2 linked regions of the Oreochromis niloticus genome follow. The protein of the gene in region 2 interacts with the protein of the main gene of each other region in a biochemical or structural test. Links are inferred from orthologs where the notes say so. Each region holds a gene or a part of one and is shown on either strand. Other genes may lie near its edges.

The links.
Region 1: the proteins of ocrl (region 2) and rab31 form a complex in vitro, tested with the Homo sapiens proteins (2 studies listed by BioGRID and IntAct, with this or other methods). The link is inferred for Oreochromis niloticus from reciprocal best matches to the Homo sapiens genes OCRL and RAB31.

The regions. Positions count from the first base shown.
Region 1 is NC_031982.2:24,679,762-24,695,665, reverse strand, and holds the start of rab31 (ras-related protein Rab-31), read left to right. Parts: upstream 1-7,250; 5' UTR 7,251-7,353; coding exon 7,354-7,389; exon of another isoform or gene 7,390-7,451; intron 7,452-7,625; exon of another isoform or gene 7,626-9,652; intron 9,653-9,662; coding exon 9,663-9,742; intron 9,743-10,832; coding exon 10,833-10,914; intron 10,915-12,597; coding exon 12,598-12,669; intron 12,670-12,984; coding exon 12,985-13,091; intron 13,092-14,344; coding exon 14,345-14,454; intron 14,455-15,363; coding exon 15,364-15,461; 3' UTR 15,462-15,904. Other genes in the region: ralbp1 (ralA-binding protein 1), read left to right, coding at 477-638, 1,442-1,573, 1,858-1,968, 2,049-2,170, 3,048-3,168, 3,346-3,648. UniProt on the Homo sapiens protein: The small GTPases Rab are key regulators of intracellular membrane trafficking, from the formation of transport vesicles to their fusion with membranes.
Region 2 is NC_031966.2:18,618,025-18,634,375, reverse strand, and holds the start of ocrl (inositol polyphosphate 5-phosphatase OCRL), read right to left. Parts: upstream 7,416-16,351; 5' UTR 7,034-7,415; coding exon 6,992-7,033; intron 6,476-6,991; coding exon 6,396-6,475; intron 2,742-6,395; coding exon 2,650-2,741; intron 2,295-2,649; coding exon 2,256-2,294; intron 1,918-2,255; coding exon 1,804-1,917; intron 55-1,803; coding exon 1-54. Other genes in the region: si:ch73-335m24.2 (protein eva-1 homolog C), read right to left, coding at 9,952-10,337, 11,533-11,613, 11,700-11,771, 11,883-12,026, 12,272-12,424, 13,983-14,106, 14,230-14,435. UniProt on the Homo sapiens protein: Catalyzes the hydrolysis of the 5-position phosphate of phosphatidylinositol 4,5-bisphosphate (PtdIns(4,5)P2) and phosphatidylinositol-3,4,5-bisphosphate (PtdIns(3,4,5)P3), with the greatest catalytic activity towards PtdIns(4,5)P2.

The sequences.
Region 1 (15,904 bases), on a different chromosome or scaffold from region 2:
AAATGCAAATGCACCGTTACATGGGAAAGGGAAGAAATATGCAAGAAGATCATGAGCTGGTGCAGAGAACATCAATTTTCCAGCAACAGGCAAACTAAACATCAAATAACAATGTGGAGCTTTGGCTCAGGCTCAGATATAGCCCAAAAAAACCCCAACCCTCCCCCTAGCAACAAACCAGTGAATTTTTATTGGATCAAAGAGTCAGTTCATCTCTGAAACCCTGGCCCAGTTTAGTGAAGCTAATTTATTCCCATAGGGGACATCTCTGTTGCTGCTCCACTTATTCTGAACCAGCAGCAGCAGCCGCCACAACACTGTTAAATAAACACTTCTCCCAATTAATGAGCGGAGTCCAGGGCCAGTTTAATCAGGCTAAATAAACATGCAGGAATTTGTATTGTGGAGGAACTGGTGCAGATACAATTCAGCTTTGTGCTCGTTTCCCTCTGGTGATCCGTGTGCCTCCTTTCCAGATTGGGAATCGTGTCCTTTACATTTTCTTCACCCACGTGAAGGAGCTGTTTGGGGATGTAGTCTTGAAGCCAGTGGTGCGGCCACTCCGCTGGTCCAACATGGCGACGATGCCGGCTCTGCCTGAGACCCAGGAGAGCATCAAAGAAGAGATCAGACGGCAGGTGGGTTCGGTCCTGTGGCAACTAATGACTGTCTATTTTAGTGTTTGAACAAATGAGTTTGTTAAAAAAAAAAAAGTTTCTTTTTTTGCTTCATATCTTAATATCTACTGCAAAAGGAAATGATTTTTTTAATATAAGCCGATGATGATTTTCCCTTGAAGCAGATTTTAAAATGTTACAACATAGTACATAGTAATGCAGCTCTAATTCAGCAAAGCAGGCCTTTTCTATTTATATTAAAGTGTCTTGTCAGCAGTACGCATCTTTATCTTGGGTTTGTTCTCAGTGTGCCAGGACTCAGTGGGATTCAGAATATTAGTTAGTTTCTGTCACCTGTATATAAAAGAAAATAGAAAACACGTCAGCTTCAGATGGTTTAGTCGATTTGAACCCCAGTCTCTCGGGTGAAGCTGTTTCTTTAACCTTACAAAATGTTCCTTCGTGGCCTGGATTTCCAAAACAATAAAACATCCCAGAGGAGGCGCACACATCTCAATCCCTCCTAGATCACCTAACTTAGAATATACGGAAAAGTTATTGTAGATTTTTTTTTGTCCTATAACGCTCAAATCATGTTAACTATCCAACTAACTTTAATTCTGTCATTCATAAGTGGTTATGCATGAATCTCAGACCGCCCTTTTTAAAAAGATTATATGGTTTATTTTGCTACTTAATACTTTGACTTTTTTGTTCTCATATTGACTACTTTATTAAATGTGTTTGGCTCCTCTACTTGTCTTGAGCTGATTGTTGTCATCAAGTAAATTTCAGCCAATATTTATGAAGGTATTTGTGTGTAGGAGTTCCTCCTGAACTGCCTGCACCGGGACCTGCAGGCAGGGGTGAAGGACTTGTCCAAAGAGGAGCGGCTCTGGGAGGTTCAGAGAATCCTGACCGCCCTGAAACGGAAACTGAGGGAGGCCAAACGTCAGGTAATCTGTCTATATCAGTATTTATGTTTCTCTGGATACAATAGCTGTTCATCCACCCAGTAATACCAGTGAGGGTTTGAATTTCCACCTCTTCTGAGATGTATAAAAATTATAACCTTCATTAAGGTAGGAAACAGCAGCAGGATTGATTCTTTAGTCTGTATTAAATTGAGCTGGGAGTCCTTAATAAACTCTAATGTGGCCCTACACAGTAACAACAAAAAGGCAAATGCAGATGAATTGACCAACTATGCTGTATGTGTCTGCTCTCTGTGGGGCTTTAGGAGTGTGAAAGTAAAATAGCCCAGGAGATAGCAAGCCTGTCAAAGGAAGACGTTTCTAAGGAGGAAATGACTGAGAATGAAGAGGAAGTCATCAACCTCCTTTTAGCACAGGTGAGTAATTCATACAAACACATCGATCAGCAGCTTGCCAAGAAAACCTTTAAATGTCTTCTCGTTCTCTCGATAATCAGGAGAATGAGATCCTGACGGAGCAGGAGGAGCTGATCTCTCTTGAGCAGGTGCTGCGTAGACAGATTGCTACTGAGAAGGAGGAAATCGAGAGGCTGCGGGCAGAGATTGCAGACATACAGAGGTAAAAGAGGACAGTGGTTAAATATGAGGTGTGAACAAAGAGTTCCAGTGTTGGAAGTGTAAAATTTATAATCTATACCTGATGTAAAAGTGGTCAGTCTCCCAGTCGGGTACATTTTCTTGTGGATCTTTAGATCATTTTCAGTGTGACTGCTGATTTCAGATCCCTCAGTGGATGTCTTGTTGTGTCCTTTGATCTGTGTGTGAAGGACCATATTGGGCTGTTTTCAGGACAACACTGGTACCATTGCATTGTTTGAACCCCTGTGAATGTCTCCTCATTAGCAGCAATACCCCTGATGACATTTGAGCCTTTTTGAGAGATAAACGTGATATTTTCCCTCTGGTTTTATGGTCGAGCAGAAATGGTGCATTCGCTGTCCACTCCAGTCCAGGGATGGTCCGTCTGCCTGGAGTGAGCTCTGTTGCCAGATAGAGGCATTATACAAGTAAGCGGCCCAACAGGTGTATGGCCACATGGGTCTATGGGCCACTCTTACTTGTGCTGTTGTCGGTCCATCAGCCAGTCACAGAGGAAAGCAAAGTGATAACACACAAAGAGCTGAAGTGAAACCGAGTGTTAAAAGCAATGAAAAGTGTCCACTGCAGCCACTGCCTGTGCTTTTAATACTCTGTATTTTGATCTTTGAAGTTTTTCTCTGCGGTTCTCCCATTCCCAGTGAACTCCAGTATCCCTCCCTGCTCTATTCCAGCTCACCTGTGAACCAGTCAACATTCGGCAGTCCCTTTAAGTCATGCTTTAAGTTGATTTAAGACAGTGTACTCAGTCGGACAAGTTTACAGGACCATGAAACCAATTTAACACTAAAACACGACATTAGATCCTAGCAGTAAGCCAGCGTTGTGTTCCTTCGCAGTCGGCAGCAGGGTCGCAGTGAGACAGAGGAGTATTCATCAGACAGCGAAAGTGAAAGCGAGGATGAGGAAGAGCTGCAGATGATACTAGAAGATCTGCAGAAGCAAAACGAGGAACTAGAGGTGAGAAAGCATCCAGCCTCCACTACCTGTTGCGGTGGTTTTGCAGTGTTTGACAAAACTGTGGTTATTCATATACCAAAAGCTCAGCACGCTTTTGTTTCTGGTAATAAAATAATGAAAGTATTGGCTGGAGTTTTACAGGATCTAATTCTGAATGTGTACTTTGTTGCCTTGAAGAACAAAAACACTCACCTGAACCAGGCCATCCACGAGGAGCAGGAGGCCATCTTGGAGCTCCGCGTTCAGCTTCGCCTCCTGCAGAGCCACAAGCTACAGCAGGAGCTGACCGTCCAGCCGCCAGCCGAGCAGGCTCCACCCACGCAGCCGAGCCCGGAGGCCCGCGGCGAGGAGCAAACCAAGCGCTCCGTTGCTGCCGTGGCTCCTACCGCCGATGCAGCTGCTGCCACAACCAACGGAAAGGCGGCTAAGGATCCATCAAAGCCTTCACCAAGCAAAGACAAGAGAGACACCAACATGTGAGACCTCTGTGATGCTTTTGGTGGTCGTCTGTGCTGGTGTTCGTCTCTACCGTGGGTCAGTTGTCCTGTAGCGTTGCTCGCTATCCTGCAGGAGATTTCACATTGCAGAGCTCATTAGTTACCGTGTCCACCAAGTGGCAGACAAGGAAAAACCTTTTATATCGTCTTTGGTGTCCTAACCTTCTTTTTCACATCCTCATGCAAAAACAAACCACCCTGAAAAAACAAACAAATGCTAGGTTTAGCTGGTGTAGCGGACAACTGACTACCACTGTAAGAGACTAGCAGGGACCATGTTTTCAAATATGCAGTGCCAAGCCTGTATGAAGGAGGAAGGAAGGGGCAGGAAGGGGAAATGAAGGCAATGAGAGTAAGAGAGGGTAGATTGCAGATTATTTCTCACTGTTGAGCGAGTCAGGAAGCGATCACTAGACCACATGTCATCAGTCCCTGTCGCTCAGATTCGTCCCTTAACTTGATGCAAATTTGATTTTTTCTTTTGGATAGAGACCACTGTGCCATAACTTGAGGATGCCCCAGAGAACCACTGATAACAAAAGTTTTTTGAATGATGAAGAATTTATGATCGGTCTATCTATATATTATATATTTAAGTAGTATTCTGAAGTAAACAGATGACTATTCAAGAAGTACATTAAATTTAAGTTGCAGCTTTTTAGTAATATATGAATATACAAATAAATATATTGTAGAGGGTCTTGTTCTTTTTCTTTTTTTGAACAGCAGATTCATAAAGAGAAGTGTTGCACCTCGCAACTAACCAGTGGATGAAAACACGAACAGCCAAATAACAAATGTGTATTCATCGCTGCAAAATGCAGACAAACAGCTGGAGGCCACACTTTGCTCCGTAGTGCAGTCATTGTCTCAGTTACCTTTGCCTGCGCTGCACTAATGAGGAAGAGCGGGAGATCATATTTGTTCAGTTTAATGAGGATGTAACAAGTCTGTGCTGATGATTTATTTTTTGCCTCCTATATGGGTGGAGACACGCAGGAGGCTCGCTTTGTTTTGTATCTTCATGTGTGGAGGTTTTCTTCAATCCTTTCATTTCACAGCTGATCCGTGTCTGCTGCAAGGTAACGTCATTGTTCGATACTATTTAAGGCAGAGATGTGTCCTGACTTACGTTTTCTGTATATTATTGTAAAATTGCAAACATACTGTATTTTCAGCTCTTCGTGTTTTGTCTTCTTGTTGCTGTTTTCTTTTCTTTTTTTACCATTAATAACCTGTATGGAGTTACGCTACTGTGACTGCCCTGCTTTGGTCACAGGCAAATCCATGCAATCTCATCTGGAGTTCCTGATTCCATGAAACTGCTAGAACAGGCTCAGAAGCTTCTCGTGAGGTTATTTTCATATTGTTCTGAGCTTTTGTAGCTGATTGTTACAGACAGAAATGCTGTGAAGAATAAAGTGTCAGTCTAAAATAATTATCTCACTGTGTCTTTTCCTGAAGTTTACCTTTTCACTCAACTATGTCTGGCTGGACATGTATTCCATATTTTTCCATTACACAGTATCTGCCTAAATACAAACCTGAGCATCTCTGAGAGAATAGAAAGGTGGACTTTGACTCTGAAAACAAATTACTCAAGAGATAGTGGAACCACCCAGCTTTTTTTTTAAATATGTTTTTTTTTGGTTAAGGCTTTAACTGGTTTCCGATTTGGAAACTAGGTTTATCAAGTAGGACTAAAACAACTAAGAGAACAACGGATGTTAGGAACTGTCTTTTCAAAATTAAAGCTCGACTTGAATTCACATAACATGATGACCATTTTCTCTTGGAGGAAAGCAATGGTTGTAATATAAAAGAGTAGATTTACATAGTCTACTGCATTTCAGGGAATGTTGGCTTTATAGATATACAATTAATACTAACCATAGAGCTATACATACCTTCACTGGGCATTTTATTAGGTACAACTTGTTATTACAAGGTTGTAACATTTTTGTTCCTTTAGATTTGGCTTCATTCTTATATCTTCATGGCACAGATTGAACAAGGTGCTGGAAAAGTGTAACCATAAAGATAATGACAGCATCACACAATTACTGTTGATTGGTTGGCTGAGTCTCCTGTTCCACCACATCTGAAAGGTGCTCTATGGAATAGAGATCTGGTGACTTTTGAGATTTTTGGGGACATTTGAGTACAGTGAACAAAAAAAGGGATGTCTATAAGGATATGAACATGTCAGCAACAATACTCGGTTAGGTTGTGGTTACAAAGATTCTCACTTCGCCCAGCGTGTGCCAAGAAAATATTCCCCTCATTATTACAACAGCAGCAGCAGCAGCTTAAATTGTTGATAGAAGGTGGGATGGATCCATGCTTTTATGCTGTTTATGGCAGATACTGACCCTGCTATCCATATGTTGCAGCAGAAATCAAAAACCACCAGAACAGAACGTTTTTGCATTAATCATCAATTACTGGTGAGCGCATGTAAATTGTAGCCCCAGTTTGCATGGTACTGGTTTGGTATTCAGCATGTGAAGGAAACCTACAGTATTCTATCTAAATGCCAGATATAGTCAATCTTCATGAGTTATCTGTTATCTTACCTGGTGTTCGTTTTCTTTTTTAACCACACATTTCTTGAAACATTTACAATTACTGTGTCACAGTCATTCCTCTATGAAAAACAATAAAATCACAAGTAAATGACTGAGAATTGCCTTATAAGTTGCTTATTCAGTTTTAATTGTTATATTTTCTTTTATTTGTGGTCATTTCTATCATATACCACAGAAACCTGCATAGCTTGTGGCTCTGTGGTTACTGTCAGTTTTCCTTGGTGCCCTCCCCAGCTTTCTTAAATGTTTCGTGATTTTGTAAAATTGGCCAGGTTTGGCACCTTAATGGCCAAAATCAAGTTCGTTTATAAGAAATAACTTGGCCCAAGTATGGTAGTAGTTTGGATGCTGAAAGTGAACCAGGTCTTTATCTTGTCAAAAGTCAGACTACCAACCTTGGTCAGTTTTTCAGTCCTAATACAGTGTGCGTGCATTTATTCTGCCAATTCGCAGTCCAAACTGGCCCAAGTCCACATACCAAAAACCCACCCAAACCTGGTAGCCATTACTGGGCTGGAGCCCACTCATTTTTGGCTGCCAGGGCACAGCCGGCTGTGTGATGCTGATCCTACTTTAGTCTTTTATTTTTGAAATAAAAACATCATTGTCACAGTCTTCATTGTCTTTGGTTAAATTAGTTAATTGCAAAAATATGTTAAGAGCAGACTGACATTTCACAGTCCTGTTATACTTTCATTGAACTAAAGACCATTGTATGCACTTTTATCTATTCTTAACTAAAGAACACTGTTTTTCAGGGTAAAAATATGTCTAAAATCTTTAATCTCTTATTTCAAAATATAAACATGTAACTGACAGGCAGAGTTAAAATTGCAAACGAAGTTGTTTGTTGCAACCTTTTCGCATCATTTGTGCCAAAACGGCTGTAAGATACCTTTATTTTGAAAGTCACTCCCGGATGTTGTAAATTTATTTTATGCGCCTTGTCAGCCGCTTAGTGGAGATGTCTGTCTGTATCAGGGGCTGGGTTTCTATTTTATCCAAGAAGAGGGGAAAATAATAGAGTTTCAAGCATGAAGAAACAAATACATTGAGTGTACACTGACAAATGATGATTTAAAAACTTTCCAAAACTTACCATGGCTATAAGGGAGCTCAAGGTTTGCCTTTTAGGGGTAAGTGGTTGATGTTTTTTGTTGATCCGTTTTGGGGCAAATTCCTTTAGTCTGCTGCGAAACTGCAAAAGCCGACAACATGTTGATGTTAACAGCTGCTCGTTTACAACTTAATGGTAGAGTCGGTACTTTGTCAGTTCCGGTATTTTATTTAAAAGAACTCTTCTTTGTCGTCTTCATGAAATAAGTTGGGTATTTAACTAATATTGGTAGCTAGTAGTTGGCTTAAAACCAACCTCATCGGCCGGCAGTCATTTTGAGTATGTCCTCTCGCATGTTTTTTGTAGTTCTTAATAGATTAAGCTAAATCTTTACTTTATAACGGCTCTGACAGTTTATCAGCCATTACGTCATCATTGGAGCCAGCGAGCCGTTAGATTTCTTGCTGCGTTAGCGAAACACGTCAGTCTGTCTTTATAAACGGTGACAGGGACGGCGAGAGCGCTTTGGACCGCAAACTGCCGCTTTTTCGACGATGTTGAAGTCGGGAGCTGGGAACTTTTCAGAGCCTCATAAGGTTTTTAGGCCCCCGCATACCTCCTCAGGGCCCTGACATCCTCACTAAAATATTTTTTTGAGTCAGCCTAACCAACCATATGCTGACCTTACCCATCTTTTGTTACACCTCTGCATGCTTATAACAAGCGGGAGGAGCAGATTTTATGCAGATTTAAAGTCACATAAAACCATACAGGGGTGTTTATACAATTAAAAAAATGGGGTGCCACATTTGGAGACTAGGAAGTCGGTGGGTGGGTGGGGGGTCCTATTTTCTACATCAGATGTGTTACATGAAAAGTGGCACTGCATGAGAGTTTAAATTAGACAGACTCAAAGATTAATGTAGTTACAATGAGTTGAGCATTATTACTGTTGACATGTTGGTCTTTTGGAACCAGAGGTGACAATTGAGAGGTGGTGGGGGGGGTGTCTATCCAGATATTGGTAGTATCGATACCAGCACCGGTTTTGGTATCGATACTAGTGCGATAGAATTGATTCTTAGTTTCTATGATCTAAATTCATTATGTAGTCCATTGAACTGTATTAAATGATTTTTGGGGGGAAAGGATAAAACAGACTTTTATGTCTATTTTATTTATTCTCTATAACCCATTTAAACAACAGAAGTCTTTTTGAGACAGGCACACTTGTGCCTCTTTTCCACTAGTACCAATTTGACTCAACTCTACTCAGTTTCAGCTGTTTTCAGTTACAACTGAGTACCACCTAAAAACCGAATTGAGTTGAGCCATGCTGAGCCCAGTAGGTACTAGTGGGGCAAAAAGGCATTACGTTCCAGGTCTCCAAAAAACACAGTTTCAAGATACACAAAAAGCTGAAATGTGTGTTTTGTTGTGTTATCTAATTACTGTGGTTAATAAAATGTATTCAGAATTTGCAAATTGATAGTGATTCATCTCATAAGTCATGACACACCACTCTTCTCTACATAAGTTGATGTTATAAGTTAAAAGTATTGGTATTGGTAACAGCGATACTGGCCCTGTATTTACTTAAAATCTGCAGTATTGCGCAACACTAATAAGAAGTGGCTCTCTCTGTGAACCACATGCTCATTGGCTAAAGCCTTGTGATTGTGTTGAGCAATTAGTATATTCTGAAAAAGTCAACTTACTAAATGGAGTCAATATTTTATTCAATACTTTCTGTAAATAGGAAGTGAGTGTGTGATATCAGTAAAAAAATGTATACCAGTATTATCTCGGATGATGTTGGATATGATATAGCCACTGTTTGCAAGGAAAAATGTGTATTCCCAGAGTGGTTGGTGAGTAGTTCCCAGAGGTCGCTTGGCTGTTGCTACAGTAGGTGAAATCAGTCGCAAAGAGGATGCTGTGCACAAAAGCCTCTTTGTTATTGCTTTGGTGGCTAGGAGATTGTTGCGCTCACCTGGAGTTAGCATGAAAGATGCTGACTACAACTGGAACCTTTTGCAACCACAAGAGTTGCCCCCTGCTGGCCGTTAGTAAGAATGCAGGTGAAGTAGTCATTGTGAAGACCCTTTATATAAGTAAAAGTGATTATAGTACAAAAGTTTTACCATCAAAATATATTTAAGATATCTAAAGTGAAAGTTCGTGTTACACAGAATCATACACCGTGTATTACTGGATAATTTCACGTTATCATTTTAATGACTTAAATACTGCTGTTGCATACTTTTGTATTTGCTACGGTTGCATAATCCACTAGGTTCAATAGTGACCGCCCTCTGTGTGTGCATGTCCTGTGACTGATTCTGTTTGCAGGACACTGGAGTTGGGAAATCCAGCATTGTTTGCCGATTTGTCCAGGATCATTTCGATCACAACATAAGTCCAACCATAGGGTGAGTGTTAACCAGGAGAAGGCTTCAGCAGCAGGAAACTAATCAATTGTGTTTGGAAACAAAGCTGAAGTAAAGATGTTCAGAAATGTACAGGGAGATTCAGCCAGTTAATCAGTAATCTGGCTGAATGAAACTATGCGCAAGCTCAAGCCACATCATTTGTACTAATGGGTAGATTGATAATCCTATGAACTGTCTATAAACTACAGAAGTTAAACCTAATGATAGAAGAACTGATTACTCAAGAGATAAAACTGAATGTACCTTCCTTCCCTTGGGTCTTTTATCTTAACTGAATACATAGATTTTAAAGGAATTGCACAAGCCACTATTACCACACTGTTAAAACTTAACAGCCGTTTTATTACTATTTAGTATTTCTTTAGTCCACACTAAAATTGGGCTGATTGGTGATAGTCATAACCTCCTAGACAATGTAGAACATGCACAGCTCAGCCAAAAGGTCTCCTTCCTGTAAGGAAAACCTCAGCAGGTAACACATAGCTTATTCTAAACAAACTTTAGCAACTGAAATAAAGACAAACCCACCTGGGAGTCATCCTGTTTCAGCCCCACAACTCCAATAATTCTCATAAGGCATTTTCATTTCATTACAAATATGTGATGTAATTACATTTTTAAAGTACAAATTTTAGTTAAGTGTTTGCAAGCTCTAATGCACAAATTACAACTTCTGTAAGCCTGAGAAAAAAAACCTTGATTTTACTAGGTCATTGCATCTGACATGAAAAAACCCACTTTGGAGTAACACTTTTAGACAAAAAGATTATAGAATTTTATAAAAATGATAGTTTTTTTTTTAGTACTTGGTGCAATAAACACTAAAATAAACTGATTATTACCTGTAACTTCAGCTTTTGCCATCTATACCAGTCTTTAAACCCACTGTTGTGACTATGTTTTTCCTTTTTTTGTTACATGCCTCTATAGCAACAAACATGCTGTACCAAACATACTTGTTTTCAGTGTTCTTACTTTCCTGCTGACATGCACAGATTTTTTTCCCTTTGCTTTTAAAGAGTGACCTAAAAAACAATAGCTGTTGTGAAATGCTTTAAATCATCCGCAGAGCGTCATTCCTGACCAAGACAGTGCCATGTGGAAATGAGCTACACAAATTTCTGATCTGGGATACAGCTGGTCAGGAACGGGTGAGTGTACGCAACAGAAACTCCTCATGGACTCGCTGTTAGCTTTAAGTTAACACATGTGATGTTGATTTTCCATTAAACTTTGCATCAGAAAGCTGGTACTCGTGATAGGTAGATATTTATAGGGTATGAAACAGGATGCTTGACACAAGAGTTCAAAGGTCATGAGACATCACGGTGATTAATTTGATGGCTAAGAGAGGGAGATGGGGTATAGCTGAAGCTTGCCAAACCTGCTTACTGCATGGAAAAAACTAATGCGAGCATTTTCTGCTTATGTGTGAAAAAATTATGCTGGGACTTCTGCTGTGAGTGTCTCCTAATACATTTGACTGACTGATCTTGTGTGATCAGTGATGCTGATGGTAAACATCTGTGAACAATACAACTGTGGACACTCTTGAAATATTGATGTCACTGTAGTGTAGTGTTATCATCATGACTGTGGGCTTGCTGATTAAACCTGTGACGTCTGAGTAATTAATATAATTTAAAAAACATGCCATAATATTTTATTCTACATTTATTATCATTCAAACACCATTTTAAGCAGTCTTTTTAGTCTGCTTGTTTAAACACACACTTCCCCTACCTGACATTTTTGGGATACCATTTAGATACCAAATGTAACTGAATATGTCAGTGTTTCTCAAACTTTTCAAAATGAGTACCACCTCATAAAATATATGGCTCTTAGAATACCACCCTTATGACTGACATTAAAGTAAAATAGTATACGCCTATTTAATACCATATAGTTTACATGAGACAATTTTATTTCTTATATAAATGTTATTTATTTTAACTGTCATAAACAGGATGTGACAAGTGATAATAATAACAAATGTACTGCATTAAAACATTCACAGCAGGTGGGATATCTGGTCTTTAAGTGATGACCACAGTTTGAGAACCACTGGAATATGTTATTTGAAGGCACTGATAATGTTTTTAAATTTCTTATTTAATTGGCCACACATTGTCTACTTTATTAAAATACATACGATTTCCACCAATTGACTTTTTTTGTATGATTGTTGAGTTAACTAAACTGCTGCAACTTTGAGATGAAGTGTATCTTCTCTTATCACTGGCAATGGATATATAGTTGTACTGATGATAATACACATTGATAGTTGCTGAAGGGAATGGTGCCGGTTTTGACTGATAAGAGAAACCAACACTAACTTCAGTACAAAATAGAAACAATTTTGAGATGCCATACATTGGTATAGGAAATGTAAAAAAAATACAACCTGAGTGTGATATTTATTCTTAAATCGACATTCCTTTTTGGATTCACTGTTCATAAATGATCTCAAAGTTTGGCACGTGTTGGCACATTTTTAGCCGGCGCGTTCACTCATCGTTTATCTGCAGTAGGCTGACATTTAGTGAGGTGATTTTTACATTCAGCATTTCTTTACAAGCTACCACAGTTTGTCAAGTCGAAGTGAAGGTAACTGCTAAAAGTTAAAAAGGCCTGGGGACTTGAGGAAGTAATTGTTTCCATAAACTCATCATGTAAGAATGTATGGGCATAGTACCCTGCCTGTATTTTATAAGCTTTTTTTTCCCCCTTATTAATCATAGACTGAGCACTTTGGATCATATTTATGTGTGATATACAAAAAAAATGAAATCAATCATGCTAACTAATATAAATGTGTCGTCTTTTTTTAGTTTCACTCGTTAGCCCCTATGTACTACAGAGGATCGGCTGCTGCTGTCATTGTCTATGACATTACTAAACTGGTAAGTGTAACAGGAAGTTTACTATTGCGAAACTGGTTAAACTGTCATGGCTGTTAGCTCCTTCGTAAAAATGAAAAACATCAGTAACAGCTGTCCTGAACATTTGTAAGTGAAGAATTTTGCTACTTTTCCATCACTCTGGGATGCTGTGTTTCATGACCTACAAATGTCATTCTTTCCTGGTTTGTTAATGGAAACTCGTCTGGAAAAAAAAAAAAGCAATGAATATATGACAGGAGTTGGAAAAAAACTGCTGGGCATATTCTCATAAACAATCTATCCCAGGATTGACCCCAATGTCTTCTTGTTGTCCAGGATTCGTTCCAGACGCTGAAGAAATGGGTGAAGGAGCTGAAGGAACACGGTCCAGAAGACATTGTTGTAGCTATAGCAGGGAATAAGAATGATTTAGGAGACATCAGGTGGGCTTCTTTTTTTCATCTCTTTTGTTACAAATATGTTAAAAAGAAAAGTTTCTACAGACACTGTTAGACTGAGTTAACAAACAAATCTGACAATGGAAATAATTTACCTTCAAAGGGGTCCAAACTTGAGGGATTTTCACAGTGAGAAAACTGCAGACAAGAAGTGCGAAGCATTGTGCTGCAAGTCTTTAAGAGTGAAACAGGCCAACTGTTAGTTTAATCCGGGCAGAGATCTGAATCATTGTCATTTACATCCTTATTATTTACAAAGACTCTACCCACGTCCTGCCATACCACAATGAAGTTAAGGTGGTTAAGCCAAGGACCTGTGCATTTCTTAAATTTACAACCACTGGGGTTCTTTGTACTGACAGCAGACTGAACTCTGAGGCGCTTCATCAATGAATAGCTCGTTAAAATGTGGTCGTTGTCAGAAACTTCTTCTATTTTTGTTTTATTGCCTGACAGACTTGAGACCAAACTAAAATATAAATGTATATGTGGCCTATGAACTAAAATAATTTTGACACCTGTGTTATTAGAGGTCTGTGGCATCACTTCAAAGGACTTATTTGTACCAAAGCAGCAACATGAGCTTTCTCTTTATGTTTAGTGATAAAGAAGTTGTGTTATTATTCACTGTGCTTCCAATTATAAGTCTTCTTTTATTGTATCATTTCCTTCAACAATATATGTGCAGTAAACTCACACAATACTGTGCAAAGGTGTGGAGTCGCCACCTTATTTCTGTACATTTTATACATTCTTGTCCCTGACTATTTTCAGTGGACTGACTTTGTTTGTTGAGCCACTGACCTATGAAACATTCAAGTGTAAAAAGTCCCTTTTTAAGTGTTGCCTTCACATTACAGACAACTTAGCAAATAAACAATTTTAAATTGTATCTGTAGACATTTTGTTACTAGCAGCCTGTCACAAATACACATCTTTTGTTAACATTTTTAGTTGAATTTATGAAAGATTGCAGAGATAACACCCTTTGACAGGCATAAAATGGCATTTCTACCCCCAACAAATTGATTCCCAAAGCGTTATAAGCTGAAACCCTGATATATTTTGGCACAGTGTGCAGTTTGTCCTTAAAAAATGGAGGAAACTGCACAATCAGAGGTGAGAAGAAGTGTCAGGCCTGAAAAAAACATGTCTATATCCAGTTAGAAACTCAATTGATGAAAGTGACTGAATTAAGTGCAGATTTTCCATCTGAACCATGTTCTTCTTTTTCACAGGGAAGTTCCTATGAAGGAAGCTAAGGAGTTTGCTGAATCAATTGCCGCTATTTTCATTGAGACGAGTGCCCGAAATGCTGTCAATGTTGAGGAGCTCTTTCAGAAAATCAGTAGGTTTTGTGGCTTTTGTTTTCTCCATCAGAAGTACTAGTGTGTCCTGTCTTGTGCTTGATTTTGAGTACTGTATTAAATCTATATAAAACGTATTCGCCTAAGCAGCCTGCTGCACCTCCCCAGAAAATTAACAACACTTTTATAGTAGATCAGCTCTAAAATCTTCTCTCTTGCCTGCATTTCAGTGTAAGTAACTGTTGGTCAAGTTAAACAGTAGGCTATGTTAAAAGCCTAGGGTACTTCAGCTTTCTCTCACAGTTCAAAAACGGATTTGTTAGGTTAACTAACGAATCTAGATTGGCTACAGGCCCTGTGATTGAGGGTGTCCTGTCCAGGATGTACCCGGCAACTTGCAATATGACAGCTAGAATAGACCCTGAAATGGATGATCAGTTAAGAAAGTGGATAAATGTGACAAGAGACAGATTTTTTTTTTAAATGTATCTTTTGTTTGCGTTCAGAATGGAAGCAGAAGAGATAGAAAAGCTCTGACTTTGAGTATTCAGTTCCAAATAAAACCTGGACACTACATTTCCCTGGAGCCTGCAACACAGCATGACTCCAAATGATGATATGAAACGTGCAGTTTGCAATGCAGATTTTCTGTTTTAATTGCATTAAGGTTCTGCCATAATGTGGGGGATACATTTTAAATCAAATTTAACGCAGTGAAAGTTTTATTTTTATTCCAGCTAAATGATGCTGGGATGTTTTGGTTCAACGCTGTGTATCCTAAGCTAAGCAATCTCCTTTCCTTTCATGTGGTCAGCAAAAAAACTGCTCTGCCTTAATTTTAGTAGTAGCGAAGCAATGCCAAATACAACTCAGCTAAATTTATAAAACTCTTTGTATGCTTAAGATTACTAAATCTGATGTGGAGTCTCTTTAAATGTCTGTATTTTTAGGTAAACAAATTCCACCCCTGGAAAATTCTGAGGTGGACAGCAACGATTCCTTTAAACTCACACGACAGCCTGCTCCGTCCACCAGGAGGTGCTGCTAGTACCAGCAGCGGCTGATAAGATGACTTCCTTCCGCACTACGGACCCCACCAGCACAGCAATCCACACGGCGTCTTACCCTAGTGACAGCACAGTGAGCAGACTGAAGTTGGCCTGCACGTGTGGTTGATTGCAACATGAAACAGAAAAACCTGCCAGTAGTATTATATGCGTCAATCCACCAGTTTTAACATGCATGTTTATTTCGTTTATTCCTAGCAGTTTCAGATCTGCTGAAGTCATGAAGCAGAAAGCCTTCAGTTTGTCCCCCTCAGGTGGTGTTCTGGCTGAGCTACTGTGTGGTGTGATACATATGGAAGCTCATTCTAAATTTCAACTCATTTTATACTCTGACTTTAAAATTGAGCACAAATTAAAAACAAGCGGAGCTGACGTGTTTTATAAAGACAGGAATTTGATAGTTGTTTTCAAGACTCTCCTTCTC
Region 2 (16,351 bases):
TTCTCTGTGGTGTTGGTGTAATGGGCTCCATTGCTGTTGGTTTGGCAGGTTTGACTAAGAAAGTCAATTAGCAGCATTAGATGGTAGCACAAAAGAGCAAAATCTAGGTTTTTAAATACATGTCCCCGATGAGTTGAAGAGGATCATAAGCAAAATTTGGTCATTATTATTTCTACAAGATAAGCAACTTAAAATTTAAAAAAAAAAAACAAAACTGCGTAATATAATCAGGTGTAAAACAAAAAGAGATGTGGTCTTGGAAACAGAGGCAGAAACACCACATTTAACATCCTGTTAAGACGAACGGAAATCACAAGAGAAACGTCATCACATGAACATGCGCCTTATGACAAGAGCAATATGGAAAGGGTTTCTGGTACTTGCTTTACTGAAGGATATTATGAGCATTAACCAGTAAATGACAGTAAACTGGATGAACAGGTTCTGAGAAATAACAGCTCCTCAGAGTGCCACCACCATCCTGCTTCAAAATATTTGTCACAGCAAGATGTTGGTCAATGAGCTCGTAACCAAAAGGCTGATTCAAAAGCCAGGGAGGATGTTTAGTTAGGGTGTGTACGGGTTAAACTCTTGGCCAGCTGGACTACATTTTCCAGCACATTAACTCTTGTGTCTCTACTGCATTTTTGAAAAACAGGCAAAAGGAAAAGCAAAAGACTTTTAAAGCCACGGTTTACACACAAAAGCAATTAGGAAAAATCCATGTAAATTAGACCGTTTTTTAATTTACTTAGTATATAAATTAAGGAAATAACAAATCTTCTTTTACATTTATGTCACACTATAATACAAACCACTCAAGGCATGCAAGACCATTTCCTTGTCTTTGTATTTTTGGATGCAAGTGCACATGCTGGGTTTTTCTAAGAGTGTGTTCTACAAAAACCTGTCAGCTACAAATGCATGACATCTATAATCTATGTGGAACAGATATAATCACGAACCTCAGAAACAAGTAAGAGGGGAAAAAAACAAATACAAAGATTTGTTTTATAGGCAGCTGACTGGTTACTTATACGTAAAAAGACTTCACAGCTTCAAATATAATACACTTTGACTGTTTATGATTTTAAATAAAACAAACACACACATCCTGCAGTGCTTTACACGTCTCCACCCTGGACTTACGTGTACAGATTAGGTCATGTAACTGAATACAATTATCCCAGTGTTCTTAGCCAAAAGGCTGCCAGGAGTTCAACAACGGCATGTGAATTAGACTTCTATACATCCAGCTTCCTAGTAGCTCTTCTCTCCAGTTAAGATATCCAGATAAAATGAAGATAAACTACGGATGGGTGTGGATAAGATTACTTTATTACTTCTTTCAGCACTCACAGTGAGGTGCAGACCAAAGCAAAAGCAATGCATGATCACCATTTAATATAATCCCCTCATGCTCCCAACATAACAAAGGCTTATAGCATTTAAGACCTTTATACATTATAAGTATATCTGAACACCAATTTCTGATAACAGAAAGTGTGGGAAATTTGGCCACAGCTTATAAGGCTAAAACGTAAATCTAAGAGTGAAATCACAATAAACAAACAAAGTTTTTTTGTGCTTTATGGCTACATTCAAAGAAGTGGGCTTGCACCCATGGAGGTGGATCTGATTTCAAAAACTGAGGCCAAGGAGTCTTTCCACCTGTATGTCAGCAGCAAGAATACACAGGAAACGAGCAAGAGCTGTAATCCACCCTTTGTAATAAATGTTAGATGAGTCATTAAATAATTAACTATCCCACTGCTTTAGATGAGTGAAACAGTCGAGTCTTACCTGCTAGTTGAGCACTCTTCACCTGGGTAAGGAAAGTCTGAGTCCGATCATCATCCTGCAGTTCCAACAGCAGCTCTGGGGCTTTTTCTCCTTTGATTCGTACTTTAACGGAAGCTTGAACAGGAAACAGAAAGCACACATCCTTAGACTTTGAAACTCCTTAGTAATGCAAACTGTTCTGCAAACAAAACAAATTGATTTAGAAGTGAACCAATTAAGCATTCTTTCAGAAAACCCTGGCAACTCATGACCTGAGTATACTACTAAATAAAGACATTAAGCTGCAGGCATGCTCTAACAATGCAGTAAAGCTAGACAGGTGTTGTGTTGTAATTAATGTCATGATTCACCTCTGAAAGCCTGGCTTCCAACACCTTTTTATAAGATCTTTTACACATGATATTGACTCAAAACTCATATATCAGAAGAGAAAAAGAAAAAAAACTACTTACGATCTACTGACAAATCAATAAGAAGAGCTTCTTCAGCTTCTGAAAGGAAAAAAGGAGAGCTTAAATAGTGCCATTCAAATAGTCTGCAGAGGGAAACTTAGTAGTCCTGTTACAAGTATTTCTACAGGTTCTTACTGTTGGCCACTGCTTAACATACTGCGACACTGTGTGGGAAGTCTTTACATTTTCTCATTAGGTGCAATGGAAAAGCTCCTTTCACTTTTACTTTTGGTGCTGTGACATTGACTAAACATTAACTTCACATGGAATAGAGGTCAAAGAAAGTGAGGTGTGACGGAGAGAGCTTACAGAAAAATACACAAACGTATCCTGACTGATTATACTCAGGATTTAAAACAAGAGTGAAATAGAGAATAACAAAAGGGTCACATACCTCGTACAATTTCAAACTTAGCATTGATGGGTATCGATAGCTGAGCCACTGGACGAGACACAACAGCATCAGGGTTGGCTAAAACACCCAGTCTGGATCAAAACAGTACAAACTCCCACTTAAAATCAGCTCTGTGGTGCTTAATATCACATAAGCTTAGAAGTAAATCAAACTAAAACACAAGAAACATACAGACAACCTGCAGCAATATAACCCTCTTATAACAGCCATTCTTTTGCAATTAGCAGCAAGTTTCATGCAACATTCAGTATGGAAATATTAAACTCAACATCTGAGATGCAATGCTGGTAGATTAGTGGTGGACTATAACTATCAAGTGATTAAAACAAACACATGCACACATGCAAAACGTATGTCTATCTGCAGTTAAAGATTAACAAACAAGCATTGTATGTCCTTCGGGTTTTGCTTGCGAAAGTCCACTGGAGCCGCACAAGCTTTGCGTCAATAAACATTCAGCTTAATCAGCTTCAAGTCTGTGATGTGGGTTGATGTAGGCAGGCTCATTTTTTCCTTTCTAACAATTGCTGACTAACAATCGGGGCCAACACTGCGCTCAGGAAACTGCCCACGCTTCCCCTCCACTTCACACTAAGTCAAATTGCATATAGTGAGAGGAAAATGATTCAGCCATGCGAGAAAAAAACGTGTCAGAGGAACTCGGAGTTGACCAGAATCAACGTCTGATATTGAAAATTACACAATCAACAACTGAGAAAATCGAAAACCCCTCAGGGGAATATAAAAAAATACTACAATGACCATACAACACAGAACAACGAATAAAATATGTGGCGGCCCTTATGATGCTCACATTTGTCAAACGTATTTATCAGACTTTCTAGTTTCCATTTCTATATAACCAATTTTGGATGTCTAAAATCTTTAAAAACAACCTTAATCACTCTGGGTGTAGCACCTCTACTATAGATGAGACTATAGAAAACACTAAACTGTGCAAATACACGATTCCTTAGTATTATAAATGAAAACAGTGAACTGGCTAAGACAGAGGTCCTCACCAAATAGTTTCCTCAATAAAATCTAAAAAAAATTAAGTACGGCTTTCTTTAATGCCAAGAAAATGCCTAAAAATTAATATTGATTAATATCTATATCAGCAAATATTTTAAGCATTTATTATTAGATGCGACTGGAAATCTGATATATGCAAACTTTATGTCCTGGTGACCATTTAAATTCAAGTTTCTTGAGCCAATAATTTTAAAAACCCGAATACGTGGTGTCTGGGGGGGACTTTGATGAAAGATTTAAGAGATTAAAGCTGACACAGAATCTGCTTATCTAGTCATTTCTCCCTGTAAGGACTACTTCTTAGTTTAGTGTGTTTTTTAATAGATTTAGTTGAGCATGTAGCTTGTGTGTTCATGTGAGTCTCATTACAGCCTAGGAAGCAAAGGAATTCTGGATAATCTGCAGTGAGCTGCCTGCTGGTGCAAAGAAAAGCTTAACAACCCAAGCCACAGTGACAATTTAAAATAACCCCCACTGTCACAACATAACCCGAACAAATGCTAGGGGGTGTAAAAAGTACACAAACTAAGTGTTACGCACAAGTTGTTGAGTAAACTCTAACTAGGAAGTGGTGTGGTATGTGTGGAGCAAGTTTACATCAGCTGAAGGGACTGGAACACTCAACCATATCACCACAGCCCCACAGGCAGCATCGTCCTTATAAGTGTCCTTCTGAACTCAGAGGAAGAGCTCCATAAAGTCACTAAAAACGCAGCATTCAGTCTTTTAGCTGGGCTGCATGACATCTGCCACTAAAAATTTCTGACTATGTTATGTTGCATTTGTTTCAGATTCTCTGGCAGTTTTCATTTTGCTTTTTTTTTTTTAGATTTAGCCTAGGAAACTATAAAATCTACATAGAACAAAATCCAGGAAATCTGGATAGATATTATACAGTGAAAACATAGAAACAGAAACATACTGAGGCACTCTCTCAGGTAAAATCAAATCATGAACCATGAGAAAGCCTGAGATAGGAATTCCCCTACTTTTAAGTAAGTAAGTCTTATCTTATCTTTTACCTGAAGACAGATAGTAATTTTTTATGATTACCTTTACCACATAAAATCTATCAATTATTCCTGGATTATTTTTCTTTGTACTTCTTCCTGCCCCACTGAAGAGCACTTCTCAGATCATTTGTCATAGCCATGCATCATTTTGCTTTTCTGATTGCAAGATCTATTGGTTAGATAACACCCTAAAAAGATAATCCAACTACACTCAACAGGCCCTTTGCTAGGAGCACCTTGCAAATATTTGGCTAGACCCAGTTTTGCCTTCAGAATGGCATTAATTCTTTATATATAGACTCAAAAAGATGCTGGAAAAATTTTGCTCCATATTGGCATGGTAAATGGTAAAATGGTAAATGGCCTGTATTTGTATAGCGCTTTACTAGTCCCTAAGGACCCCAAAGCGCTTTACACACCCATTCACACACTGGTGATGGCAAGCTACATTGTAGCCACAGCCACCCTGGGGCGCACTGACAGAGGCGAGGCTGCCGAACACTGGCGCCACCGGGCCCTCTTACCACCACCAGTAGGCAACGGGTGAAGTGTCTTGCCCAAGGACACAACGACCGAGACTGTCCAAGCTGGGGCTCGAACCGCCAACCTTCCGATTACCTTCCGATTACAAGGCGAACTCCCAACTCTTGAGCCAGTATCACACAGCTACTGCAGACATGGCAGCTTCACATCCATGATGCAACCCTCCTGTTCCAACAAATACCAGAGGTGCTCTATTGGATTGAGACCTGCCATTTGACTACCAGGAAACTCACGGACATGTTAAATAAACCAGTTTGAGATGATCTGAGTTTTGTGACATGGTCTGCTATCCTGCCTGAAACAGCCATTAGAAGATGGATACACTGTGTTCATAATGGGTGGCCATGGTCAGCAACAATATGCAGGAAGGCTGTGGTGTGTAAATGATGTTCAGCTCTCTGTGTTTAGAGATCCTCTTCTGCATACCTTAGTTGTAATGAGTGGATATCTGACTATGAGCTAAAAGCAGTCTGACCAGTCAGACTTCTGACAAGGCACTTTTGCCCACAGAACTACAGCTCACTGGATATTTTCTCTTTTTCAGGCCACACATTGTAAACACTAAAGATGACTGTGCTGGAAAATCCCAGTAGATTAGCAGTTTCTAAAATACTCAGACCAGCCCATCAGGCACCAACAACCACACTACAATAAAAGTCACATAAATAACCTCTTTTTCGTGTTCTGATACTCAGTTTGAACTTCAGCAGGGCTTCTTGACCATATTTACATGCCTTACTGCACTGAGTTACTGCCATCTTATTAGTACCTAACCAAGTGGCCAGTTAAACTATATAATTATCTATCATCCTGCCAAGTACTCAGTGTGACGCTATCATGGCACACACCTTTCTGACCTAACAGAGTGTATTTTGAACCATACCGATATCACAGCAATTGTGGGTCAGAGATAGGAGGAAATATAAAAGACAAACCCAGAGTAGCGCAGACACCTCAGATATGCTATAAACCACAGCTTTACGAGTTCTCACAAACTAGGTGCTGCAGTAAATGCCTAAGAGTGTTCAAATTGTTTCAACAACTCATCACCACTACTTATGATTCTCAATAGGTTTATCTACTGCTTGACAAAAATCACATTGTTTTTCAGTCATTTGGTTCATTGATACTTACATAAACTCTCCACCGCGTTCAATTAGTGACAGGAGTCTGGGCTCCTTCTGGCCAGACCTCACCTCCAGGCATTTTACAGTGTGAGCAGCACAATCAAGGAATTATTGTGACTGAGAATGAGAAACTAGTGACTGTCACCCCAGGCTTTGTAAACTGAGATTACACTACAGATACTCTGAAGGGTTAGAACAAGCCATGCCAGTTAAAAGGTGGGCAACTTAAGGTAATAAAAGAAAAGAGCAGGAGGTGGGACAAAGCACTGCAGATGCTGGGTTTGCTGGTGCCAGTGCAGGTAATACTTTTAGCTTAAGGGTGTAAAGGTGTAAGGATGGCTAACGTTATTCTGTACAAGTGATTTTAATTAGCGTTAATTGCATGACACTGGTCATATATCTGTGCGGTTAGCAATGAACTGGATTAAAAGTGAGCTGTAGCTACTTTATAACATGATTATTTAAGTGCACGGTTACTAAATATCTCCATATTACTGAATTACTAACGTTGCCTAATGGGCTTCACTAAAAGCTAACGTTAGCTAACAAGCTAAAACCCCCAAAAAAAACAAGCCCAAAAATACCAGAACTCAGAAAGGATATTGCCAAGCATTCCTCGCCGCATATCCCCAAAGAGGAATCCATTCTTACCGAGAGGAAATAAATATCAGTTTATCATTTGGGTTTATATCACTTCGGTGCGGACGTCAGGGCAGGGAAAGTTAAACCTCCACCCGGCGCTGCGGCGGCCTCCTTCCGGGAAGCTTGGCCGCTAATGCTAAACGCCAGCTGATGATGTTGTTGTTGTTGTTGCTGCTGCTGCTGCTGCTGTTCCCGGATAGTATTAAAAATATCACAGTTAGAAACTTTAAAAAGAAAGAAGAAAACCCCGGCTCTTCTCGTGTCCCCGTGAATGCCAGAGAGCAGGTTGCACAGGCTACATAGCTTTAGCTGGCAGTTTTATGATTTAGCCGCATATGCTACAGCACAGAGTTTGATATGTGGTGGACTCCCTCCTCCTGCCGCTCCTCTCCCTGCTTAAGGACTCATCATCCTGGTTTTTTGCGGCAGTTGGCTTCGAGTATGAGCTTAATAACGCCATCTTCTGCATCGGAGTGCAATACTAAGTGAGTAAGCCTCCCAGCCCTGACAAATATAAAGAAACCCCTGCGACATCGTGTGGTAAAACAATATTATCTGCATATAATTTACTTTCCAGTTTCACACATCCTCTTTGGGGGATTAAAAATGTCCGAAAGGTGTTTTGTCCCACATTAATAGGCATGAGGTGTAACTAATACAATCGCTTTTACATTTTTTTTTTTAATATTACCGCCACCAAGGAGGTTATGTGTTTTGGGGGGGTTGGCAGTGTTTTTACGCGTTTCCTTCTTTCTGTAAACACGATAGTTTTTTAAAAATTAAATTAATTCTTATCAAATTTATTGGAGTGTATTGTGTGGTCATCTAAACAATCCATTCAAATTTGACCTCCAAACTCTAAGTTAAATAGACTGATCTGCACCTCAAAGTAATATTGCTATAGAACTATTTAAAACTATATTTCTTAATGCCATTGGTTTAATTGACAACATATAGAAATATAGGGATTTTAAATATTGGACCTCATTTTCCAGTTCAAATAAGATAAAACTTATACTGTCTTTTATCTTTAAAAATTTACATAAAATTGTGTGTTGGTACTGGCAAAATTGGAAAGGATAGAAGTATATGGTGATTATAAATATCACATTACAGTTTGCATTCAAAAATCAGTCACATTTGCCCTCTGATCAGTTTTACATTTCACAACAACTGAAGGTGTGTTATATCTTTAAATAAAGTATTTTTTAAAGAGAAAGAAATGAGCTGCCTAGTTAGAATATACTACAGTATGTAGTATTATATAATAAGCTCAAGTCAAGGTTTCATCCGCTTTGACTTGTGACCCCTTCAAATTAAGCAGTCTTCATCACACGCTATGTCATGTGATAGCTGTGATAGAGCAGTTTCACTAACAGTCATTTCATTCATCTCAGACTGTGATTTTAATGATTATAATGACTTCAGCTGAACTGTCCTCACAGTTTAAACACTGATTCTTTCCTCAGTGGATGTATTTCTGAGAGCAATTGTGCAAAGACTTTGAGTATGTTTTTCCATTTCCTGGATCCAGACTTTTAAATCCCTCTACCCACTAATCAATATCTGATATCAGACTAATTTTTTCATCATAAAAACTTTTTAAAGTTCTCCAGGCTACTTGTACAATTCATGTACAATTGCATTCATGACTTCATAAATTGTGACCATCAACAACACTGAGACATTTCTCATGATGTCTCAAAAAACATCCCTTTAAAGATGGTCAGGTACAAGAGCTGGAATAAAAATAAGTGAAAAGAAAAACTTTGAAAGGCCTTCAGAAAGCCTGGAGAACAACTGCTTAGACCAAAAAAATTATAAGAACATCTAGCTCCTTGGAAGCAAAATATAAAGAAATAAAGGGTGGGTCAGGACTTTTGCACAGTGTTGTAGTTCTATCAGTTAATCAGATATAATCACTTTAATTAATTCAAAGAGGGACACAATTTAACAAAGAATCAAAATATAATTGTTAGTAGAAATTTGAAAATTATTCAATTTATATAATTATTTTTGATGATTTGGTTTTGCACTGTTCTACATTTAATTCTCCATCTTTCAGCAATAATATGAAATGTTTCCCCTGCAAAAGAGCAGCTTTATTTTTGTACGTTTTAATGAAACATTAAAAATGGAATTAACTCACCCAATGATTTATTAGTCACACACTGCACTGAAAATACTGTTTTTCCATAATGTAACTGCAAAAATGCATTGAAATTATTCAAATTAAATCAGTGGCACCGTCCACTGTTATTCCATAAAACACAGCTGCATTTGAAATTCATTGAAACAACAAACATGTGATATTAACCTTTATGATTGTAATCAACCACCATTAGGTTTTTATGCATTTTAGTAGTGTCATCATGCATTGTGACAGATTAGGAGGTTCAGTTACATTTAAAGAGAAGCTATCATCCTTTCCCCTATTTTCTGTCACATATACCTCATTACTGTGATTTGTGTTCAGATTAAACTGGTTTTAAATAATGAGGCTGTTCTAAACACTCAAATTCAGACTTTATTTTCTACTCTTGGCTTTGCCTAATGTCAAAAATTGGGGACTTCCCTAGTTCATCTCTGGCACTTAGGACCCAACCATCTAATGCTTAAGCTTTGAGTTTGTGAGGGGCACCCAAACAGAAGAAAGTTGGCTTGGAGGAAGAGGAGTTCATATGGCTCGTTTCAGGCTGTGAATGAACTAAGGACCCAGCTCAAGATAAATAAGGATTATCTTGAACTTTGAGTCATGCAAAGCTCCTCTAGAAGAGTAGAGGAATGAAAGTTTGGACCTGGAAATGAGCATAATAGGTCCATAAGTTATAGTAAAATGCATAATTTATAGTAAAAGCACCATCTCAGCATGATTTCAGTTAGCAACTATTGTTCTAAAGCAGTATACTGATACTTTACTCTCAGTTGTTGTAAGTTTTTATCTTGTGAATAGCGTAAGGGCTGGAGTCTCTGTGTGGCCAAATGTCTCCATTCGGCAGATCTCTAGATTGTTCCTCCTCCCACTCAACCATCTCTACTGTTAAAGTGGATGGACTGAAGATGTCAGTTGTCCGGTAGGATTGTGTTAGGCGGCGGAAAGGTGATGTGTCAGAGACATCATCTTCGCAGAGGTCTTCCATGAGCTCCTTGCGTTGTCTGCGAGATGCTTTCAGCTCATCATTCAGGTCAGAAACCAGATCTTTAACGTCTTTCACAAGTGTGGAGCGAACGCCAAACAGGCAGAGCAGGAACACGAGACCAGCGCAGATGCCTGAGACAAAGTAGAGAGCGACTCGTTCTGGGAGACCTGGAAGAGACATGTGTGAGGAAATTAAAAATTTGCCGGCATAAGCCACAAGTGTCCACTCAGCTCATCTTTCTCAAATTGCTTTAGAAAACACTATTAATGCAAGGTGTGACCTTTCAAAGAAACCACTAAATTCATTTCATGTGAGTAATGTATCAAAATCGATTTGCAAGTGCTCCTATTTCAGTTCAAATATCCAAATAATTTGTATCTATATTTTTTTATATTCATATTAATAATGTTCGAAACTGATTTAGCTGAAAAATCTTCCTGGGCAGTGCAGTATTGTAAAAACAAAGACACAGTATTGGCTTTGGATTAGGATCATTCCTGGAAAAACCATATATGATTATTTATGTTAGAGTACATAATGGCTAATATTTGGATTTTCCACCAGCATGTTAATGTATGATCCAAGGGGAAAAAAACATAACTGTTTTGTCTATGTCCAAGTTGAATATAACATGTCATAATAAACTGAAAGGACATAAATAGACTGAAATTAGGAAAAAATATTTTTTAAAGATAATATGCTACTAATGATATGATTTGGAAAATGGAAATAATACAGAAATATGTACGCAAATTTTAGATTACTGCAGAAAAGACAAAACCTATCAGCACAGACAAGTGGCTGGCACACTGATAAGCAGAGGCTGGCTGGAGCCTTCCTGTGTGGAATTTGCATGTCCTTGCTGTGCCTGTGTGGATTCTCTCCAGCTTCCTCCAGCAGTACAAACACATGCATGTCAGGTTAAGTGGTGAGTGAAAATTGGCTGTGGATGTGAGGTAGATGAATTGCATAAAGTGTGCAGAGTAAAAAGTAAATGTGGATTGTGGTTTAAAGTGGCCAGTAAAGAGTACATAAGTGCTATATGAATGTCAGTCCAGTATCATACCTCTCTATCTGTAACAGCTGAGATATATGTTAGCCCCTGCAACACTAGGCTAGATAAGCAATTAAGAAAATAGACAGATGGTATATAAAGGCTTCCAGTTACTCTAAATCAAATTAAAAACACTACATTTCATTTAATTCAACACCTCTTCTTATTTTTCCATGTCAGTTTGGAGCTCAGTATCTCGACTGTGTCCACCAACGTGCTTGAACACCCACACTTCACTTCGACTACAGCACTCATGAGCGATATATATGTGGCTGTAGCCTGACATCCACAGGCATCAGTACACATACCCAGTATTTTGTCAAAGATCTCCAGAGAGTTGGTTAAGAACACATTTTGAGGCCTGTAGGTGGGGCCAGTGTACCATCCACCTGCAGGCGAGAGGGTTCTGGGCTCAATAGCCAGTCAAAGTCTGCTGCATGCAATGAAACCTGTGAACGTTCGTTTTCACACTCACCGTGTGTGTAATCTGAGATCATGAAAGGATCTGTTGGACCTTGACCCACATCTTCTAGGAGATATCTGGGGACTAAAGAGGAAATGAAACATGTCACAATATGCAGCTGTATGCAAATACAGAAAATATACTATGCATCTACATCCAAGCCAAAAAAAGAGTAGGTGAAGATTTGTCACTTACCACAAGTGAAGGACACCCGCAGGTGTTTCCTGGTGCCGGGGAAGCACGGGTCCCCAAAGGTTTGAGTATCGGCTATTAGTGAACAGTTTGCTCTGCTGTGACACCTGCGTGACACTTTCCTCAGGGCCGCAGGCGACAAACACTCTGAAATAATTTAATATAAATGAAACCAATGATTGTAATGAAGAAGACAACAGTAACATTTTATTGTTAAAAAAGCTGTTTCTCTAAAACCTGAGCACCTATAAATTAAGGAATATGAATAAATAATTCATATTTATATGAATTATTAAATACAGTACAGTAGTAATTCTCCATCATGTCTATACAGGACTTTAGCTCCACTTTTTTGCCAGTAGATGGCACTTGAGCCCCCTGCTGTTGCAGACCCATGTCAGCCTTTGATCCAGGTTCCTGAGGACAGTGAGGACTGCCGTGCAGCAGGTGTCCAAATGAGGCAGAGTAGATCGCGATGACAGTCTCATTTTTACACATCAGCCTCAAACGCTCATTTTCGCACACCAGTCGTGTGCGGTGGTGCTCTGAAAAACAGATGAAATGACATAAAGAGCACTTTGAAGAGCATCTAAAGGTTGACAAGAACTTTCTGTAGCTGTTTTAAGAAAATCTGATGTCTGAAAGCATTCATTGTTATTATTTCAAAAGTTTATAACCTTGTTTTACAGCTGTTTAGAGAGCTGACTCAAGCTACCCCGCATTTCTTTATATTTTGCTTTCAAGCCATGTTTTCTTTTTTTTTCAAAGTAGTCTAGAGCAGTTCTCCAGGTTCTCTGAAGGTCTTTAGACACTGGCTGCTTTTTCGCTCATTTTCTAAGCAGTCCTTATACCCACCCTTTTTGAGAGGATTGCTTTTGTTTGTTTGTTTTTGTCTTTTAAGCTACTTAACACTGATCTATGAGCTATCAACAACAACATGTCTTAAGAAATAGGGAAAAATCCAGCAAAGACGTGACCCCAGCCTGACCCAGTAATAAGGAAGGGAAACACGTTAAAAAGGCTGTTACTATATTTTAGACATTTATTATTTATTTATTATTCCTCCTGTTCAAGCTGATTATTGGTAATCCAGTCATAACCTATTATAGAAGAGTTAATTTAATGCTACAATATATGTCAAAGTGCATATGAAGTTGACCATAAGAGTCACTAGTGGACTGATTGTGTGGCTTTGTTTAAAAGCTACAATCACAATTTTAGAAGACTCCCACTTAATTTTATGTAATTCAGACTATATGCACTTCAGTTTGGAATGCAAATGTTTCAATGTACAGTTTTGTGTTTCATGTGTGACTGCCCATATTTTTTGAAAACATCCCCAAAAAATGTAAGTTCCTTTTTATGTTTTGCTTAACGGGCCTGAAACCAGAGGCTGACTGGGGAAGAATATTACAGAAACTATAAATGATACTAAGTTCAGTTCCTCTTTTTTAAGTTACCGTTATATTTATTAAGTTATACATTTCTGTGAGCAAGCAAAAGACATAAATAAGATATTTTAAACAAATAATAATTTAACCTCCTAGGACCTGCCGTCCACATATGTGGACATCACATTTTGCGTTATTTAGACCAAAATACTCAATTTTGCTCTGCATGGGCCTGGTATCCAATTATGAGGACATTATACTGCTACTGTTCTATCAAATTTTAAAACGAATATCCTCATTTGTGGCTCTCATTTTTCTTAAAAACAAAAATAAGGTAAAAAAAAAAAAAGTCTGGGAATTCTTTGTTTTTACATTCATTGGACCCCAATATGCCCAAATATCCAAGAGAAATTGAAAATGCATGTCGTGGAAGAGTTCGGGTCTTAGGGGGTTAAAGAAGATTACTTAATTATAGAAAAAATGAAAGAGTTTGTTCATTTATTTACCAGCTTTACATGCTAATAGATTTTTTTTAATTAAGAGCTTTATTGTGCAGCTCTTTTTTTCAGGCCAAGGTCCCTCTTATTGATAGTTTTCTGCACAACTTTAAATTATGTGATGGACTCTTTCTTTGTCAGTTAGGTAACATAAATTTAAAAGTCATGTGTTCACTAGTGGTGAAGTGACTGGACTGTCCAGCTCAGTAGTGCACCTGGTCTGCACTTGTAGGAGACTAGGAGGTACTTGGTGGTGAGGGGACAGGGATCCTGGCCAAACACTGGACTTAAGACGGGAATGTGGCACGACCGCCGATCCTGACACTCTGACAGCACTTTCTACAAGCACAGGGAAATACATGTGGACCACTGTTATCTTCAACAGGAGTCAACCATAAGAGCATTTGATTGAGGCAGATCATACAGTGAGTTCACAGTTTATGTCAGTGTTACTATGTATACCTCGATAGCAACTGAGGAAGTGCACTCTGTGTCCTCCTCCACAGTTGTGTTTGTGCTTGCAGGAGGACATAAATGCTGACTGGGAACACGGCGTCCATAGAAGGCTGATAGGATGGCCACAGACGTCCTGGAGGGACACTTGATGATGAGAATTTCCCCTTCACAAGCATGAGCCGTGTGGTTTTTCAGAATGCTGTGAAGATACACTGAAAGAGAAAAAGAGCTGATGATGTCTATTTTATCATTTCAAACACATCTTACACCTAATTTATAGTCATGTGCATAAGTCTTGAGCCCCCTTTATTTCTTTATATTTTACTAGAAAAATGGGAATTAAGTGCAATTATTTATTGAAACAGCTGGAGACATAGATGGAAATACAGTATATAAAGCAAAAGGAGAGTTTACACAAATATAACAAGCCTGAACTCTCTTAGGCAGACTTTCTTGTAATATATTTAAATCGTCTTCAGGAACAGTTTTCCAGGCTTCTTGAAGGAAATCATTCCACTTTCAGTTCAGTTCCTGTATAGCGTCATATACGCCAGCCTTTTCTTCCTGTTTCCCTTTCTTAAGAATTATTTCTTGTCTGCCACCCTTCCATTATGACCATTTCTGATGAGGCATCAGTGAACATAGATGGATCAGCTAAAGGGCCACATGCATCGCTCAGCTCCTGCGTCAGATCTTTGCTGAATCATTCCCTGTTTCTTAAGGAAATGTCTTTCAGACACATTGTGTCTGCTGTAGATAGTTTTTAAGACCTGCCACTTCTTCTTTTGTCCTCTGCTTTTCCAGTTTTCTCATTTTTTAAGGGCACACTCCATACTGTCTATCACACTAAAATCCTATTTTAATCCCATCAAACCGTATAATCGTTTAGATTCAACAAAAAAAAATGGGAATAGTTCATGTGCTTTTGCGACATGCGGCTCAAAGTACCTCAAGATACAATTTGAAATTGTTTTCTTGCTAAGTTCTCTGTTATGTGTAGACACAACACTGGTTCATCCCTTGAGTTGGGTGAAATTTAAGCTTGAATAATTCATAAGTCAATGTTAAGTAACTTCACAAGCAAAAAACATTTCTCAGAAAGCCTGGATAAAAGAGAAAGAAATAAAGGGTCTTCTTTCCGTTGTTAACCAACTAATAAAGACTGGATGACTCAGTTACCTTTACTCATGCACAATTGAGGACCCTTTCATTGTCAACAAGTCAACAGTTTGACTTATTTAGAGCTTTTTTTAGCCCCTACAACAGCTCAGTCCCCTGTCGACAGGGTGGTGTCCGACTCACTGGGTGTAGCTCGCCAAGACAATTTTTGGACTATGACCACACATATAAACATCATCAGCAACAGCACATAGACACTGAAGTGAAGTCTCCCCTCCCATGTGTGTTTCCTGTACTGCACTGTGTTAGTGTGTACGTGCAGTATATCTTGCCTTGAGAAGATTTATAATGCAAATTTTTATTATGTATTAAGACTTAATTTACGGCTAGATAAGTATTATTAGTTATGGTTACATCTCTAGGACATGAATATAAGTCAATGTTTCGTCCTGTGACGTGATGGAAAGCGTGTGTGTGTGTGTGTGTGTGTGTTCTTGTCTAGCTATCTTTGTGAGGACCGAAATCTGCATTCTACTATACTTGTGAGAACCAGCAGTCACTTGTGAGGACACACAACCCAGTCCTCACATTTTTGAAGGCATTTAAAGCCATTTTTGAGGCTCAAAACATGGTTTTAGTGTCAGGGTTACAATTAGGTTATGGTTAGGTTTAGGGTAAGGGTTAGGGTTAGGCATTCATTTTTAATGGTTAGGGTTAGGGTAAGGGGCTAGGGAAACCAATATGTCAATGAGGGTCCTCACTAAGATAGCTAAACGGGGTTGTGTGTGTGTGTGTGTGTGTGTGTGTGTGTGTGTGTGTGTGTGAGGCTTTTTAAAGCTTTAGGGAACAAACGAGACACAGTACCAGGCGCTCACTCACAATGAGCTATTATTAGACACACACACACACAAACATAAACAAAAGATCTCTGCTGTGATCAGATATAGAGATACACATGCAAACAAAACGGTGTCTGAGACAAAAACTACCTTTGGCTGTGTCTGAACAT